4 linked regions of the Arabidopsis thaliana genome follow. The protein of the gene in region 2 interacts with the protein of the main gene of each other region in a pairwise test. Each region holds a gene or a part of one and is shown on either strand. Other genes may lie near its edges.

Region 1 (4,583 bases), 8.0 Mb from region 2:
ATTCAATTTTTAATACAAGCTGGAAAATCCTAGAATTAACGGGTTTAGATCGATATTAATACAAGATGGTATACTACATGTCAAACTCTTAAATTAACAATCAAACTACAAGTGTATAATCTTAAACACTAAACAATATAGATAATATCAACAAAACATATACAACTCACAGTTTACTATACATTTAAAATCAAATAAAATAATATCATATATTTTTAAATCATCTTTACAATAAAAGTTTTTAGTTTAACTAAAATATAAGGCTACTTGCGGTATACTGCAGGTTAATATCTAGATTATAGGGCTTATTGGATCTAGAGATGGGTCATCAAAGATTTCCTAAACTGAAGCAAAATATACTGAATATTCAAATATCTATCTATTACCAAATTATAAACAAATAAGTTCGTAAACAATTTAATATTTTATTTACGAAATCAATTAAATCTTAATCACATAAAAATTAGCACAAAAAAAAATATTCAACAATTAAAAAATAACAAATCTCTGTGTTATATAAGTTTTGATACTATATTCGAATAAAGTGTAATATACCTTTTCAATTTGTATTCTTTAACTAATTTAAGCTAACAAATATATTTGCTAATCTTATACCTATCAAAACCGACAATCGTTTCTTATCTCTATAGTATTTTTGCAAGACTTTTTTGGTGGATTTGGATAAAAGTGCGTTCGGCTCATATGGTACATTCCCCTATTAAATAAATATGGTGCACTCCTATGTTATTAACTAAAATGTTTAGATTATAATTCAGAGTCATATCATTAATAAAAATAATATTAATAAATAAATGGCTTTTTGGCAAGACAGATTTAGAGAGACGGGTTTTTGAATCAACATTAATAAAAAAAATAAAATATAATTAATCCACCGTTTCAATACGGGTTAAATCTTTAATTTATTATTTTCTAAGACCACTAATATTAAACATATCAAATCATCCTAATTTAGAAAAGATTATATAAAACAAAAAATGTTATGTGGTATGTATAATGTTACTATATATAAAATTAAACTATAAAATATAAATGTATTAGAAAATGATACAATTTGCAAAACTTTTATATAAAAAATAATTCTTAAATTTTAAAAATTACTACTTAAAAAAAAATCACAGGACGGGTAAAGAAATTACAGAACGGGTTTTATTTTAGAATTGAGTTATATGGCGGATGTATTTGAATTAATATTTATAAAATTTTAAAATATTATTAATATGCTGTTTTAATAGGGGTTAAAACTTCAGTTTTTTAACAATTGTCTCATGGATTCGTGGTATAGCGTTAGTTAATAACAATTATAAATTGTAAAATATAAATATTTTATAAAATAAAATTTGCAAGTTTTAATATATATTACTTTTAAAAAATAAATCGTCCCGCGGTATACCGCGGATTAAAATCTAGTAACATCTAGTTATTTTGCTAACAACATTTCTCAAATAATAGTATAGAGATGGTATAGAATCTACAAAGTGCAAACTATCACTTATAATTATTTATCAAATTAAAGCTGATAACATTTCGTACTAAATTTCAGCTTTAGAGTTTAAAGTGCAAATTATTAAACATTTGAACATATCAATTTCTTAATATTTAACAAAGTTTCTCCTTATTTTTTTATAGTTCTCTTAAATATATATATATATATATATATATATATATATATTGTATATCTAGTACTTTATAAGTTCATAATAACATTAGAATTTTATAATTATGTAAATAGAAAAGATTATTAACTAAAAAAAGAAAGAAATTGTCCCACGTCATTACATTGTCAATCTCATATGATAGTGAGAGTAATATTTTGATTTTGCATCTATTAGAAGCGTGTAGATAAATCACATAAAAATATTACGGAGCTTACTATACAAATTCGATGAATAAAAAATGAAAGAATTCCTCGAAGCTTTTGTAGTATTGTGTACCAATAAACCCAGTCTGAATAAACCAATGGTGGAGTCTATTATGGGAAAGTGAAAAAGCAAAAATAACTGAGAAAATAATAGACCAAATAAAGCATAAGGACAAGAATTGTTGTTTTCACGAAAACCACGCAATGTAAATCATCAACATGGATTGTTTCAATATGGTATCTTCCTCTATTTAGTGATCTAGAGATTGTTTCTTGTTTTTTTTTTTTTTTGCATTCTAAGGAGAAGAGGTGATCGAAACCAACCACACGGGAGGAGCTTATGCCATTTTCCTCCCCGTGGAAGGTCTAACAATCACACGTCTCCTAATCTCGTACGTCTTCTTAGGTATGTTCTTTGCATGTTAAAGAAACTGTATCTTCAATTCTTGTCATTACATGATAATGGTTTTCTTATACATGTTTTGCTCATACCTTATAGGTTTTGAAGAATGGAAAATTTAAGGAGGTTGTCAAACCCGGGAAATTTCGGATTCATTGGAAGATCACAATCACGAGTTCCCCAAAAAAACATGGAAAATAACATTTCTCCTCCTAATAATATGCACCACCATAGTGCTTCTTTAGATGATCTTTTCACAGAAGACCAACCAGCTTGGCTCGATGAGCTCCTAAGTGAGCCAGCATCACCTAAGATTAACAAAGGTCATAGACGTTCAGCTAGTGACACAGCTGCTTACTTGAACTCAGCTTTAATGCCTTCGAAGGAAAATCATGTTGCTGGTTCGTCTTGGCAGTTCCAGAACTATGATTTGTGGCAGTCCAACTCTTATGAACAACACAATAAATTAGGATGGGATTTCTCTACAGCAAATGGAACTAATATCCAAAGAAATATGTCATGCGGAGCTTTAAATATGTCGTCGAAACCCATTGAGAAACATGTAAGCAAAATGAAAGAAGGAACTTCTACAAAACCAGATGGTCCTAGATCAAAGACTGACTCAAAACGTATCAAACAGTAAGTAGTCTTATCTTTGTCATGTGTACTTATAATAGGTTATTAAAATGTCCCACATCGATTGAGATTAAGATCTTTAGGCATTATCTGGCAATCCTTAACTCTTGAGCTAACTGTTGGGATAAGTTAGACCACATTCCTAATATAGGTTGATAAACATATTTCTGATGCGGTTTAATAATATACAATTTTATCGAAAATTATTAAAATGCAGTCAAAATGCTCATCGAGCGCGTTTGAGAAGGCTTGAGTACATATCAGACCTTGAAAGGACCATCCAAGTGCTACAAGTAAGATTCTAAAGGCTCGTGTATTTCTCGAAGTTCTTTAATTTCATTAATAATATGAAAAGATTCCTAATGTTATATTATACATGTTGGATTTTCTTCAATAGGTTGAAGGATGTGAAATGTCATCTGCCATTCACTACTTGGATCAGCAGTTACTCATGCTTAGCATGGAAAATAGAGCTTTAAAACAACGTATGGATAGTTTAGCAGAAATCCAAAAGCTTAAACATGGTATTTAACCTTTCATATCACTACTAAAATGGATCAAAATGCATTTATTTTGTTCTCTTGTAAAATTTTGATTTTGGTTGGTTAATACAGTGGAGCAGCAATTGCTTGAGAGAGAGATAGGAAACCTACAGTTTCGACGACACCAACAACAACCACAGCAAAACCAAAAACAAGTCCAAGCAATACAAAATCGATACAACAAATATCAACCACCTGTTACACAAGAACCCGATGCCCAATTTGCAGCCTTGGCAATATGATTTAGGAAATATGGATACATTGTTCAGATTAAGCTGAGCTCCTCTTGCTCTACCTTAATGTCCATACAACATAGGTGAACTTGATGTTTGTAGCCTTGAATGAAAACCTAAAAAAGCATCGTTATGTAAATCAAAATGTGGTTGCCCATATCCTCCTCTATTGCATTTCTCTCTATTTATGGCATGGTAGAGAATCTCTTGTCAAGAAACTTCATGTTATGTAATAACTTGTAATCCTTCTTATTTCATCTATTATATATATGAATAAGTAATTTTTTTGACAATTTCCTTTATCTATATATATACAAGTTGTGACCGATTCTAGTAATAAAAGGAAAAAAAAAATATATATATATATATATATATATATATAAATATTCTGTATACTATTTTATACACCAGTCAAGATAATATGAAAATTAAGATTAATATTTAAAAAATGAATTTACGAAAACATAGTAATTTGTTGGGTTTATGCAACAGTAAAAAAAAAAATCCTTTAAGCCGCCATTGTATTTTAATTTTACCCTCCATCTCAAAAAATGCATATTAATCATAGTAAGTAAAAAAACTGATATGAAATATAATTCTCATCCATATCTTTTAAAAGATTTTATGGCTACATACATTATATATATATATATATATATTTATTTTTAAATGGTCTTTCAGCATCGTCGGGAGAACTTCAAGTTGAGATACTATATATACAAACTTTACAAATTTGACAACGATTAAGAAAGATTGTATTGCGTATTATTTAGACTTTCAATAACTGATTTGCAGTATCATTTGTTATTTTGTTTAGTTTCTAACCCTAAGTTACAAAAATTAACCAATTTGTTCATATATTTTTTCTATTAGATTAGGAAAAATTCTCAAAT
Region 2 (3,657 bases):
ATGTGTACCATATGAACAATAACAACAATCGAAATTAATACAGAATATAATCATAGTTAAAAGCTAATTAAGTCTGGAATATCAACGACAACAACTCTCGGAGGAGAGGCAGGAGCTTCCTCATTATGATCAAGTGTTATCAAATCAGAAAGCTTCGTCTCTATCTCTTCCTCTTCTTCTTCTTCTTCCTCAGCAATCTCTGTTCTCTCCGCACTTTCCTCAGACGACTCCATCGCCGTCCTTACGAGTTCATCGAGATGAATCACATCCGCTTCAGGAATCCTTACGAAATTAGGAATCTCTTGAGCATTAGAAACTCCCAAGTCTTTACAAAACTCAAAATACTTTTTTAGCTCTCCTCCTTGCTTCATGGATTTAGCAACAATCTTCAACGCCAAGTCTGCCTCTGTTTTACCTATCTTGGAGTGCACGTTAGGTAAAACTTCAGCAATACGACGACAAATCCAACCGTAAATCTCCATAATCTCACTAACCACATTCTCCATAGCTTCATTAATCACAGGTATCATCATGTTTTCACCAATCGGTTTGATTCTAATCAAAGAATCAACAATAATCTGCATCTTACGAATAATCACAAGTCGAATCAGAACCGATGATTCTTCGTTGTATCGATGACGATTCCCATCGTGAAACAGAATCGATCTTCGATCAAGAAACGCGAAATAAGCACGTACGAAGAGATTAAACCCACCGGATTTGCTCATAATCCGTGAATTACCTTCGCCGAAACTCGAAAGATCGAAAGGTAACCGTCCGATCGATTCTGCTACGGTTGATTTACAGAGGAAGAAGCCGTGCATTAGCATTAAGCCTTTTAAAGCAACCGCCCAGCTTCGCGTGCGTTTCACGCGAGACGAGATTAAGCTTACGAGAGGCTTGAGGCTTGACGGGCTAGAGAGAACGTGACGGTAGATGAATTGAGCGCTCTCTGTATCAATGGAGAGCTCGTCGTGGCTTGTAGCTTTCACAACGGCTGCTGTGAGAATGTCATCAGCCGCGATGAGACTAGGTCCGTCTTTGAGAACTACGGCGGCGCGTTTCCAAAGCTTCATCTTCCGACTAATGTGTGTGGTTTCAAATTGTTAGTTTCTATTTCGCGCTTTATAATTTTCATTTTAAACCGTGTTTTGTTTTCTTTGATGTCAATTCTTTGCTGGTTTAAAACGAATTAGATAAGGATAAGCTAAAATTAAGAAATCTCAGTTTTGACCAAAATAAAAAAAGATATTTTTGATGTCGTTACTAAATTATTATCTTCCATTTTTCAGTTTAACTCGATTGATTACGTAATAAGTTCATTAGATAAGTGTTGTTTGGTTGGCTTTTCTATATGTTTCGTTGATTTTGTTTTGAGGCAATTTTCTAGTGTAGTAGTGTTGTAATCGTATATAATGTATGTGGTTTGAGCAAGTCAAATTATGACTTTGTTTGTACAATATGGAAATATACATATCTTAATTATTAATGGTGTGATTGATATCGTTAAGCCGTAAAATAATCGTTTAGCTTGCTAAATTACACACAAAACATAAAGTAGGCAAATGAACATATACGATAGTGAATAGTCAACTCGTGGGTCACACAATTGCTTTTTTGCTAAACCTCTTAAAAGAAAGCGTTTCAGACTTCTTTTTGCAATAAAATCAGATTCTTTGAAAACTTTTGATCTTTGCTTCTTAATTATAGTTTCATTTTAGTTACAATATATTATTGATATTTCTCAATTTTACAAAATTAGTTTCTTAAATCTTACTTTTATAAATCAAAATACTTCTACTTATTTAGAAACATGTGACCTCTATACAATCCAAACTTATTAAATTTGTTTATACCTATATTAAAAACTTATTACTAATATATTAGTACTAGTTTACTAGTACTAATTAGCCGCTATAGTTTTACAAAAAGTGGTTTAGTTTTCTTATTCCTCATTATTGCTACTACACTTAACCCAATGGATTGAAAGAGTTAACTATGGGTAGAGATGACAACTTTATGAGCTGAGAGGATACGAAATTATGGATGTGTAGAAAAGCAAAGCCAGTGAAACAGTTCAAAAAGTGGGTTTTTCACATTTATTATGACAACTAATAAACACGTAAGTACAAAATCTTAAAGCAAGTAAGTAACAATAATTTTTGCTCTTTTTGTAACTCCCAACTCTTTCTGACACAAAAAAACACCATATCATAACTTAAGTAACCCAAAACCAAACTCTTCCAAAACAAACCCTAAACGCAAAAATCATTACTCAAAAAAAAACAAAGTCTCTCTCTTCTAATTAGAGAGCCAAGAAGATGCAGAGTACTTGTGTCTACAGAGAATGCATGCGCAACCACGCCGCGAAGCTCGGCTCTTACGCCATCGATGGCTGCCGTGAATACTCTCAACCATCCACCGGCGATCTCTGCGTCGCCTGTGGTTGCCACCGCAGCTACCACCGTCGTATAGACGTCATATCTTCTCCTCAAATCAATCACACGCGCTTCCCGTTCACGAGCTTAAGGCGCGTGAAGCAGCTGGCGAGGCTGAAATGGAAAACGGCTGAGGAAAGAAATGAGGAGGAGGAGGATGACACGGAGGAGACTTCGACGGAAGAGAAGATGACGGTGCAGAGGCGGAGGAAGTCAAAGTTCACGGCGGAGCAGAGAGAGGCGATGAAAGATTACGCGGCGAAGTTGGGATGGACGTTGAAGGATAAGAGAGCGCTTAGAGAAGAGATAAGAGTCTTCTGTGAAGGGATTGGTGTTACTCGTTATCATTTTAAAACTTGGGTTAACAATAATAAAAAGTTTTATCACTAACTAATTAACTAATATCCTTAATTGAGATAATACTATAATTTAGTTCCAATTTCATTTTCATCCCTTCTGTGTTAATTTCTCCTCCTTGATCGCTTATTTTAATGGATTATTATTTTATCATTAGTGGGTTTAATGTGTTTGATTTGGACATGTCCTTAATTACTAACTGGTTCACTCTTTAATTGGTCTTTATGATTCTTCTTTTTACGTCGGTGGGATTTGAGTTTTGACAAGACAACTAGCTGACGTTTTATTTATGGTCAATACTGTTCGCCAATCAGAATATTTATACGTAATAATATTGAAGTAGTTGAATAGTAGTACTAATTATTATGGGAAAGGATGGCAAAATGACATTTTGTTTTGATAGAAAATTGTAAAGATTACATATCTAATTCTAAAATTTGTAAATAATTAATGGTAAGATATATTTCACGTAATGAAAAGACAATTAGTTACGGAAATAACACAACATTGTGTTTTTTCGAGGTTTGTTACTAAAAATTATAATGACATCATCAAAGCCAATAAAAGCTGTTATGCTTTTTTTTGTAGAAATAGTCATTTCAAAAATAATTTTTATACTTTTTGCTTTTTTATAAAGTCGTAAAACCATATACTTAAAAGTATATACCAATAAAATTGTGAACTAATTGATTCATAAAATTGTAACTTTGCTACCATTATACCAAGCATCCCATTCCCACGAAAGTTTCAACTTTAATTGGGCTTTTGTTGGCATTTCAAGGCCAATAAGAACACCTTTGAGAAAACTAAAAAACATAGCTCTAGTCTACAATTATTCTAGTGTTTACCTACTGATTTAGAA
Region 3 (4,123 bases), on a different chromosome or scaffold from region 2:
TTGCACATCAGTGTTAAATTGCCCAGTCTGACCCATAATAACACTGGAGTCCACATAAGCCTGTATAATCCAAAAAAAACGAGACAGCATAGTTCCACGTTAAAATGGAGCAAAAGTAGAGAAGACTACAACTGCAATTTGGTTTCTATATGCCCAATTACCGGATATGAAGGATCCTGAACAGCAATTGTAACATTGGAACCAAACATAACCTGCAAGAAGTGGAATCAAGAAACAGCTGTTCATATTTCTTAATCTTGTATCAATTACAGATGAATAGTCAGCAATAAAACAAACCTGGAGACGTGAGATATCACATTTAGCTCCATCAGAAACAAAAACGTCATCATCCCCTATGCCAAGGCCACCGTAGAATGTTTTCGCAATAGCAGCTCTCAGTGGCTTTTCACATATGTGAAATCAAGGTTAGTTTGGATAAAAACTTAACAGATTAAGCTTTAAGATTTTACATGTAAGAAACAGGTTTAAATCCATCTTCTCTTGAATTTAGCAGCAGTTCAAGACTATCCATAATAAAATTGAAGTGACGTGCAAAGGCAGATAATAAAGAAATGATAACAACGCAATAAGGTGGAAATGAAGGGTGCACTGACCTTTGCACCTTGTTCAGCACCATAACCACTATATCCCTCTATTGTTGACAACTCATGAGCTTTCTGTCAGAGAAAAAAAACATGATTAATCTCTAGAGATTACATGCCTGTGTGAATAGTATAGCAAACAAAAAAACTATGCTACCAGAATAATTTTCATTGTTAGATTACAGAGAAGTTCTCGTTTAATAATCCAAATACGCCAAAACAGAAAATATGTTATACATTTTTGTCAAAATGAACGAAATAATACATGTTAGGGCAGTGTTAGTAAAATCAGTTTAAAATATGCTAGAGCCCAGAGAAGGGCAAAGAGCACATGAAGCTAAGTTAAGATAAGGAGGTACCTTTGCCATAGCAGAAGTGATCACTTCAGGAATTGGCTCAGTTGTGTCGCCTATTCCAAGACTTATAACTTGTGCATCTGGATATTTCAACAAGTGTGCAGACCTTCTTCTTGCAATCTGTTTGCATCCACACAAAAAAATAAGAGAGAGGAGCATTATATACAGAATCAATGAGGATATATTAACTTATTACACAGATAGTTATAATATTTCAGATCACTAGAAGCTTTCAAAAATGTTAACTTGAAATGCCACTCCTTTAGGTATTTGAAATCTTAAATAGTAGTACCAAGAGAGTAACAGGTAACAAACCTCCGGGAATAGGTATCCAGCCTGAAGTTTGGACATGTTTGAATTCCGTGACACTTTGGTCTTATACTCTACATACAGAAAACAAAATCATGTATTGTAAGAAACAGATAAACAGCTAAAAGACGATAAATCATTAACTATGTTACTAATCATTACAGCAAAAACAACATGGAGTAGGAACATTACCGATCTTCTCTTGCGGCGTAGCAACACATTTGCAAGTATTGACCCGTTTTGCCATGGGTAAGCAAGCATTTCGAGTTCTGAAGCCAAAAAGGAAAGCAAACCAATAAAAAAATGAATCAATGATCATCACAAGCAAATGCACTGTTCTCTGGCCAAACAACACCATCCAACATCGACTTAAAAACCAAAGGATTGAAATTTCCAAGTAAATTCATAACATACAATTAATTTCTGGAAATGAATCCAATTTCATATTCATCCTCACTAGATTATATCAGTAGCAAACAGAGAGTAAAAGAAAACAAAACGACGCACCTGAGATTAAAATTTGAAGGGGCTAAGAAAGTGGATGAGGAAGAAGAGATCATCGAAGAAACTAACTGATGGGTCGACGACATTTTTCCTGCTTCGCACAAAGATTTTTTCAGACAAATTTGCAGAGCAAATGAACCATGGGAGATAGTTGGTGAGACTGATAAAACTAGGGTTCTTCTTCGGTTTGGTCTGAGAGGAAATTAATCCGGTTTGTTCCGGTTCGGTTTTACTAGAAATTTTTGGGAATTTTCCAATTCAGTTCAATTTATTTATTTCTCTCTCTGGCTCGGACAATGATTTTGCTCTGCGCCTGCTGGAAAACGCCGAGGAATCGCACGATTTCGTGAAGCTGCTACTAGATATCTGTATCTGAGTCAATTCGATTTCGTGGTAATTAATCTCGACCAATAGGGTTCTCCAAAAATCCCCTTTTCGATTGTTGTGTGTTTACGTAATTTTGTTTGTTTTGCTTCGTTGATTTCGTTGTCGAAAGAACGTAGCTTTAGTGGAAGTTCTGTGATTAAGAAGCAATGATTTAGATAGCTGTAGTGGTCGAATTAAGTTCAACTCCATCTTTGTTTGATCTACCCAGATTGATTTGATCACATAACTTGATTAGGCTTATACTTTTTTGTTTTACCTTGGAGTAGATGGATCTGGAAACTGAAAATCGAATAGCTTCCATTCTTTTAAGAGAAGCAGCAGAATTGAGGAGACAAGCTGAGAAAGATGGCGTCAGAGCATATCTTGAGAAGCCTAATGTAAGGCATCGACCTAACTCTAGATTTCTCACTGCTACAGTTCTTGGTGTTCAGCAAGGTATAATCTTTTGTTGACAGACTTTGCTTCTATCCAACAAAATCTAGTTTTTTTTTAGTTTATCTCTTATTTGTTTCTTCTTTATTCCATTCAGCAAACAAAGCTGTGGAAACCAATGAGATGTGGAGTCTTCGGAGTAAAGAGATTGAGTTTGGTGAAAGGCTCAAAAGAAAATCAAGAGATGAGAGCAGCAATGGTCAAAGTGAGCAGAACAATAGGAGGGATTTTTTAAAGAGATGTACTTCAGTTGATGAGAATGTTACTACTACTAGTTTATCACCATCATCAAGCCGGAGCAGAAGCAAAAGATGGCAATCAGAGGATGATGATGATGAAGGCTTAGGAGATGTCGAGGTTAAGACTTTTCTCCAATCAAGGTATTTCCATTATACTCAGATGCTGCCTGATTATTTCCTTTACAATAATGATCGAATTTGGGATCGGCTTTTGCTGATAAAACTTGTGATTCTGGTCTATGATAGGGTCAAGCGTGGCAGAGGTTCTGTTGGTGCTATGATGGATGAACCGCTACCCTGTCTTCCTGAGAGGGAATTGTCAAGAACTTCTGATACAGGAGATCGGAAGCTAGTGATTCAGCCAGAGCGATCACCTTTATTGAGACGTAGGACAGATTCTTCTTCTTCCGACGAGGAGGAAGTTTACAAACGGGCTCATAGAAAGAGAAAGGAGCATAAGAAGAAACTTAGTAAGAAACACAAGTCAAAAGAGAAGAAAAGGGATAGGAAGAAGAGAAAATATGGTAGGGACTAGATCTTTCCGGACAAAAGTAATTGCCTTTTTACACCGGCAGTGATGTTGTATCCATAAGATGATCATATTTCATTAATTCTTGTATTAGTAAAATGCGAATAAAAACTCTTTGAAGTAAGGTAGAGAGTGACATATCTTAGAGACTAATGATATATAGGTAGTAGAGACAACTATTGGTGTGGCCTATGAGGGTTCAGATTTGGTAAAACTCTTTGAAGAAAGGAGAGAGCGACATATCTTAGAGACCAATGATATATATATAGAGAGAAAACATCTTGAAACCATAGAAAAAGTTGTTGTTCATGCCTACATTGATACACATTCGCCGGACAAGTGACAGTTTGAAAGTTGAAAACAAAGACTAAAGTTTTCGACATTCATAACCAGTTCAGTGGTCATGCACTCTGTGTTAGGAGTCTTCAAAATGGTGATCAGTTTCGTCAAAGATCTCCTCCTGCAACCACAAGCCAAGCAATAATTAATCCGTGAAAAAGAATTTTTGTTTTTAACTTATATAAGATTCCTTACCTGCAGAAGTTCTTCAATGACATCCTCCATCGTAATGATTCCGACTGCTTCTTCTTCCTCAGCAAGTTTAGGCAGCGGATTGCCATTCAATTGCAGGATGTCTGCATCATTGTCTTTTGACCACTTCTTGCTCTTTGACCCTCCTTTAAACGAACTTGCTCGATTCGGAAAGCTCTTCCACTTTTGAAGCGATCTTTTTGTCCTTAACATTCTCTCCTGAGGAGTAGGAGT
Region 4 (2,741 bases), on a different chromosome or scaffold from region 2:
GCAAGTTTTCGATAGTGAACTGAGAGCTTGGTTCATCCATTTCTCCCTGGTCGTCTTCCTTCCCAGCATTATCCACCAAATACTGAGCTGAGACGCATCTGCAAGACAAAAAAAAAATGAAAATGTTGTAGTCAATTCATATGACTCTTTCAAAGGATTAGACTATATTAAAAAGGGAGTAAACTACTATCAGCTAAAATCAATCACAGTATCTCTTAACGATGCGAATAAAGTAATGTTCTCTAGAACAAGATTTGATTCATTTACCGTAATCTTCTTGCTCACTACTTGCTTTTACGCAATCTGGATGACAGAGGCCACGCGTCTTTGCCATAGATTGCATGAATCGCTGAATCATATTCATCTTCGATTACTTATCCCTGGTTTCAAGTAGAATCCAGCAGAAGAACACATTCAGAAATCCAGTAGAGTCAAGCAGATAAGGCAAAAGGAAAAACAAAAACAAGACCTAACTAGCGAAAACCATAAACATGGTTTCAAGTTTTGACATAAACACAACCATTTCTAGTTGCAGAGGAAAAATCGTCGAACAAGAAGCTTTAGAGTAAACCAAAGTAACAATGATAGCTTCCATTAACAAAGAACAACTCTAACGTTAAAAAGGATTCAAATCATTCATCCAAAAAAAAAAGTTCAAACCCTAAAGTTTATCTCTGTTCACTAATAGCACTGAGAAAGGCCAAGTCACGGAGTAGAATCGGTAACAAATCCAAAACAAGCTAAAAGAATCCAACAGAGAGAGAAAATTGAGAGAAATTACCGGAGACACAGAGAGACGAGAATCAGAAGGAGAAGACATTCGCAATCGCCGTCGCGTCGAGAGAAACTCAGAGAATGTTCGCGAAACAAACTCTCACAGTCGTCGCGAAGATTTCCCCTCAGCTTTGTCCCGAAACGTGTCGCCTTTTTAAGACTTCAACTTTAGTCCTCAAGACGACGACGTTTGAAACTTTCCTTAAAACGTTGCCGTTTTTATGACATTGCCAATGTTTTTAAAAGTCTTTTTAACAACATCGTTTTTGCCTGTTTATTTAAGGGCAACAATTATAGTTTAACAACAATTTTCTTTTAGGCTCCAATGATGATGATCCAACATTTTGTTTTTCCGAGTTAGACATCGACTTATTCGTTGTAAATAGATTTTTTCTCTTTCTTCTTGAAAGAGTACTTGTTCTAAAAGTTTAGAGAGTGGATACCATTTTTTGTGCAACCGATCACGATCATGTCAATGCATTTTTTGGAGAGCAAGAAAATATTTGAGGCATAAGCTTCTTCAAGTACTAATACAAGTATCTCTCCATATCAGAAGAGCAAGAAATCTTCCAGTCTTTGAACATTATTTAGATAAGTAAAAGAATAATCTTGTTTTTTAGTTTGTAAAAAGATATAAGACAAAATAAGTTTAAAAAGAAAATAGTAGACAAAATATCATACGCTAAAACCAACATTACAAATTTGAAAAGAAAAAATGTGATATTGGCTTACTTATCTAATTTTAAGAATATTGGCTTTGAATTACATGGATATATTTCCTTTTTAAAGAATCGTTTTCCTAATATATTAAAAATCCTTAAAATCCACATATATATACGAAATCACCTTTTCTATTTGTCTACCTGAAAGTTTCAAGTCTTCAACGCGTTTATTATTGTTTTTCAGTTTTGCTCTAAAGATCATTTGTTGTTCCCCTTGGATTATTGCTATAATATATAGATCCTTAACTTTTTGTCTGATTTGCGTTTTCTTTGTCTCATAGAACAAGAAAAGAATATGTCGATGGTTAAGTACTACGATAAAGAGGAACATGTTGGGTTTTGGTTTCATCCTTCTGCCCAAGAACTCATCATCCGTTATATCGGGCCTAAGGTTACCAAAAGATCAAATAAAGAATTTGAATTAGAAGACAAGTTTGACATCTATGCCAAAGAGCCGTGGCGGTTGTCTCACACCGAGACTAACTTTTTGGAACCTAATGAATGGTTCTAGTTCGTGAAAGTGAATCATCTCTCTGAAAACGTTACTGGAAAACGCATCAGCCGCAAAGTCAAAGGAGAGACGGTTGATGGATGTTGGAAAGGCCATGGGAAGTTGAGTGATGTCGTGTTGGAAGATACCGGTGCAGTGATTGGGAAGAAGTCTAAGTTTCTACGTCAAAGGTGAGAGACAAGCCAGTGGTTGGACCATGACAGAATACTATCTCGAAAACGGTGGCTCATTATTCCATGTTCAAGTTCTCTGCCACCTTAAAGGACCATGATTATGTGTCTTGGTAAATTTTCAGTGAAGAGGATAATAACTTCTACTTCTATCTTATTTTACTTCAATTTTGTGTCTAGTTTGATATTTCCCTTTGCATAATTTATTTAAATTCCTCATAAAAACTTTAGGAAAATCTCGTATATTCTTGTTTATTTAAAGACATGTAGATCATTATTTTTATGAGGAGTTTGTAACTGCTCACCTTCTTGTTTTCACAAACGAAAAAATATTTTCTTGTTTTGAGGATCAAAGAGATTATCTCATCTAATATATGAGATATTAATAATGATCAGGCCCATCCATGCCTATGAAGGAAAAAGAGAAACTTTGGCCTACGAAATGGATAAGAAATTGGTTAAATTAATGGGAGATTTGCAAAACTATATTTTTTGACTACCTTTTTGCCATAATACTCTTTTATATTATTTATTTTTAAAAATATCTTTTTTCTTGAACAGAAT

What was found.
Region 1: the proteins of HB32 (region 2) and AT1G35490 interact in a two-hybrid assay, tested with the Arabidopsis thaliana proteins (one large-scale study listed by BioGRID).
Region 3: the proteins of HB32 (region 2) and AT4G33690 interact in a two-hybrid assay, tested with the Arabidopsis thaliana proteins (one large-scale study listed by BioGRID).
Region 4: the proteins of HB32 (region 2) and AT5G18037 interact in a two-hybrid assay, tested with the Arabidopsis thaliana proteins (one large-scale study listed by BioGRID).

What each region holds. Positions count from the first base shown.
Region 1 is NC_003070.9:13,059,468-13,064,050, forward strand, and holds AT1G35490 (bZIP family transcription factor), read left to right. Parts: upstream 1-2,081; 5' UTR 2,082-2,285; intron 2,286-2,378; 5' UTR 2,379-2,388; coding exon 2,389-2,918; intron 2,919-3,132; coding exon 3,133-3,208; intron 3,209-3,312; coding exon 3,313-3,439; intron 3,440-3,529; coding exon 3,530-3,699; 3' UTR 3,700-3,988; downstream 3,989-4,583.
Region 2 is NC_003070.9:5,045,725-5,049,381, forward strand, and holds HB32 (homeobox protein 32), read left to right. Parts: upstream 1-2,057; 5' UTR 2,058-2,321; coding exon 2,322-2,828; 3' UTR 2,829-3,029; downstream 3,030-3,657. Other genes in the region: AT1G14686 (ENTH/ANTH/VHS superfamily protein), read right to left, coding at 57-1,076. UniProt on the Arabidopsis thaliana protein: Putative transcription factor.
Region 3 is NC_003075.7:16,172,774-16,176,896, forward strand, and holds AT4G33690 (G patch domain protein), read left to right. Parts: upstream 1-1,982; 5' UTR 1,983-2,164; intron 2,165-2,424; coding exon 2,425-2,593; intron 2,594-2,687; coding exon 2,688-2,970; intron 2,971-3,075; coding exon 3,076-3,364; 3' UTR 3,365-3,555; downstream 3,556-4,123. Other genes in the region: AGD2 (Pyridoxal phosphate (PLP)-dependent transferases superfamily protein), read right to left, coding at 1-60, 162-212, 298-402, 615-677, 962-1,078, 1,274-1,341, 1,460-1,536, 1,775-1,857; AT4G33700 (CBS domain protein (DUF21)), read right to left, coding at 3,774-3,818, 3,893-4,123.
Region 4 is NC_003076.8:5,970,579-5,973,319, reverse strand, and holds AT5G18037 (NAC (No Apical Meristem) domain transcriptional regulator superfamily protein), read left to right. Parts: upstream 1-1,753; 5' UTR 1,754-1,791; coding exon 1,792-2,007; 3' UTR 2,008-2,219; downstream 2,220-2,741. Other genes in the region: AT5G18040 (target of trans acting-siR480/255 protein), read right to left, coding at 1-98, 268-364.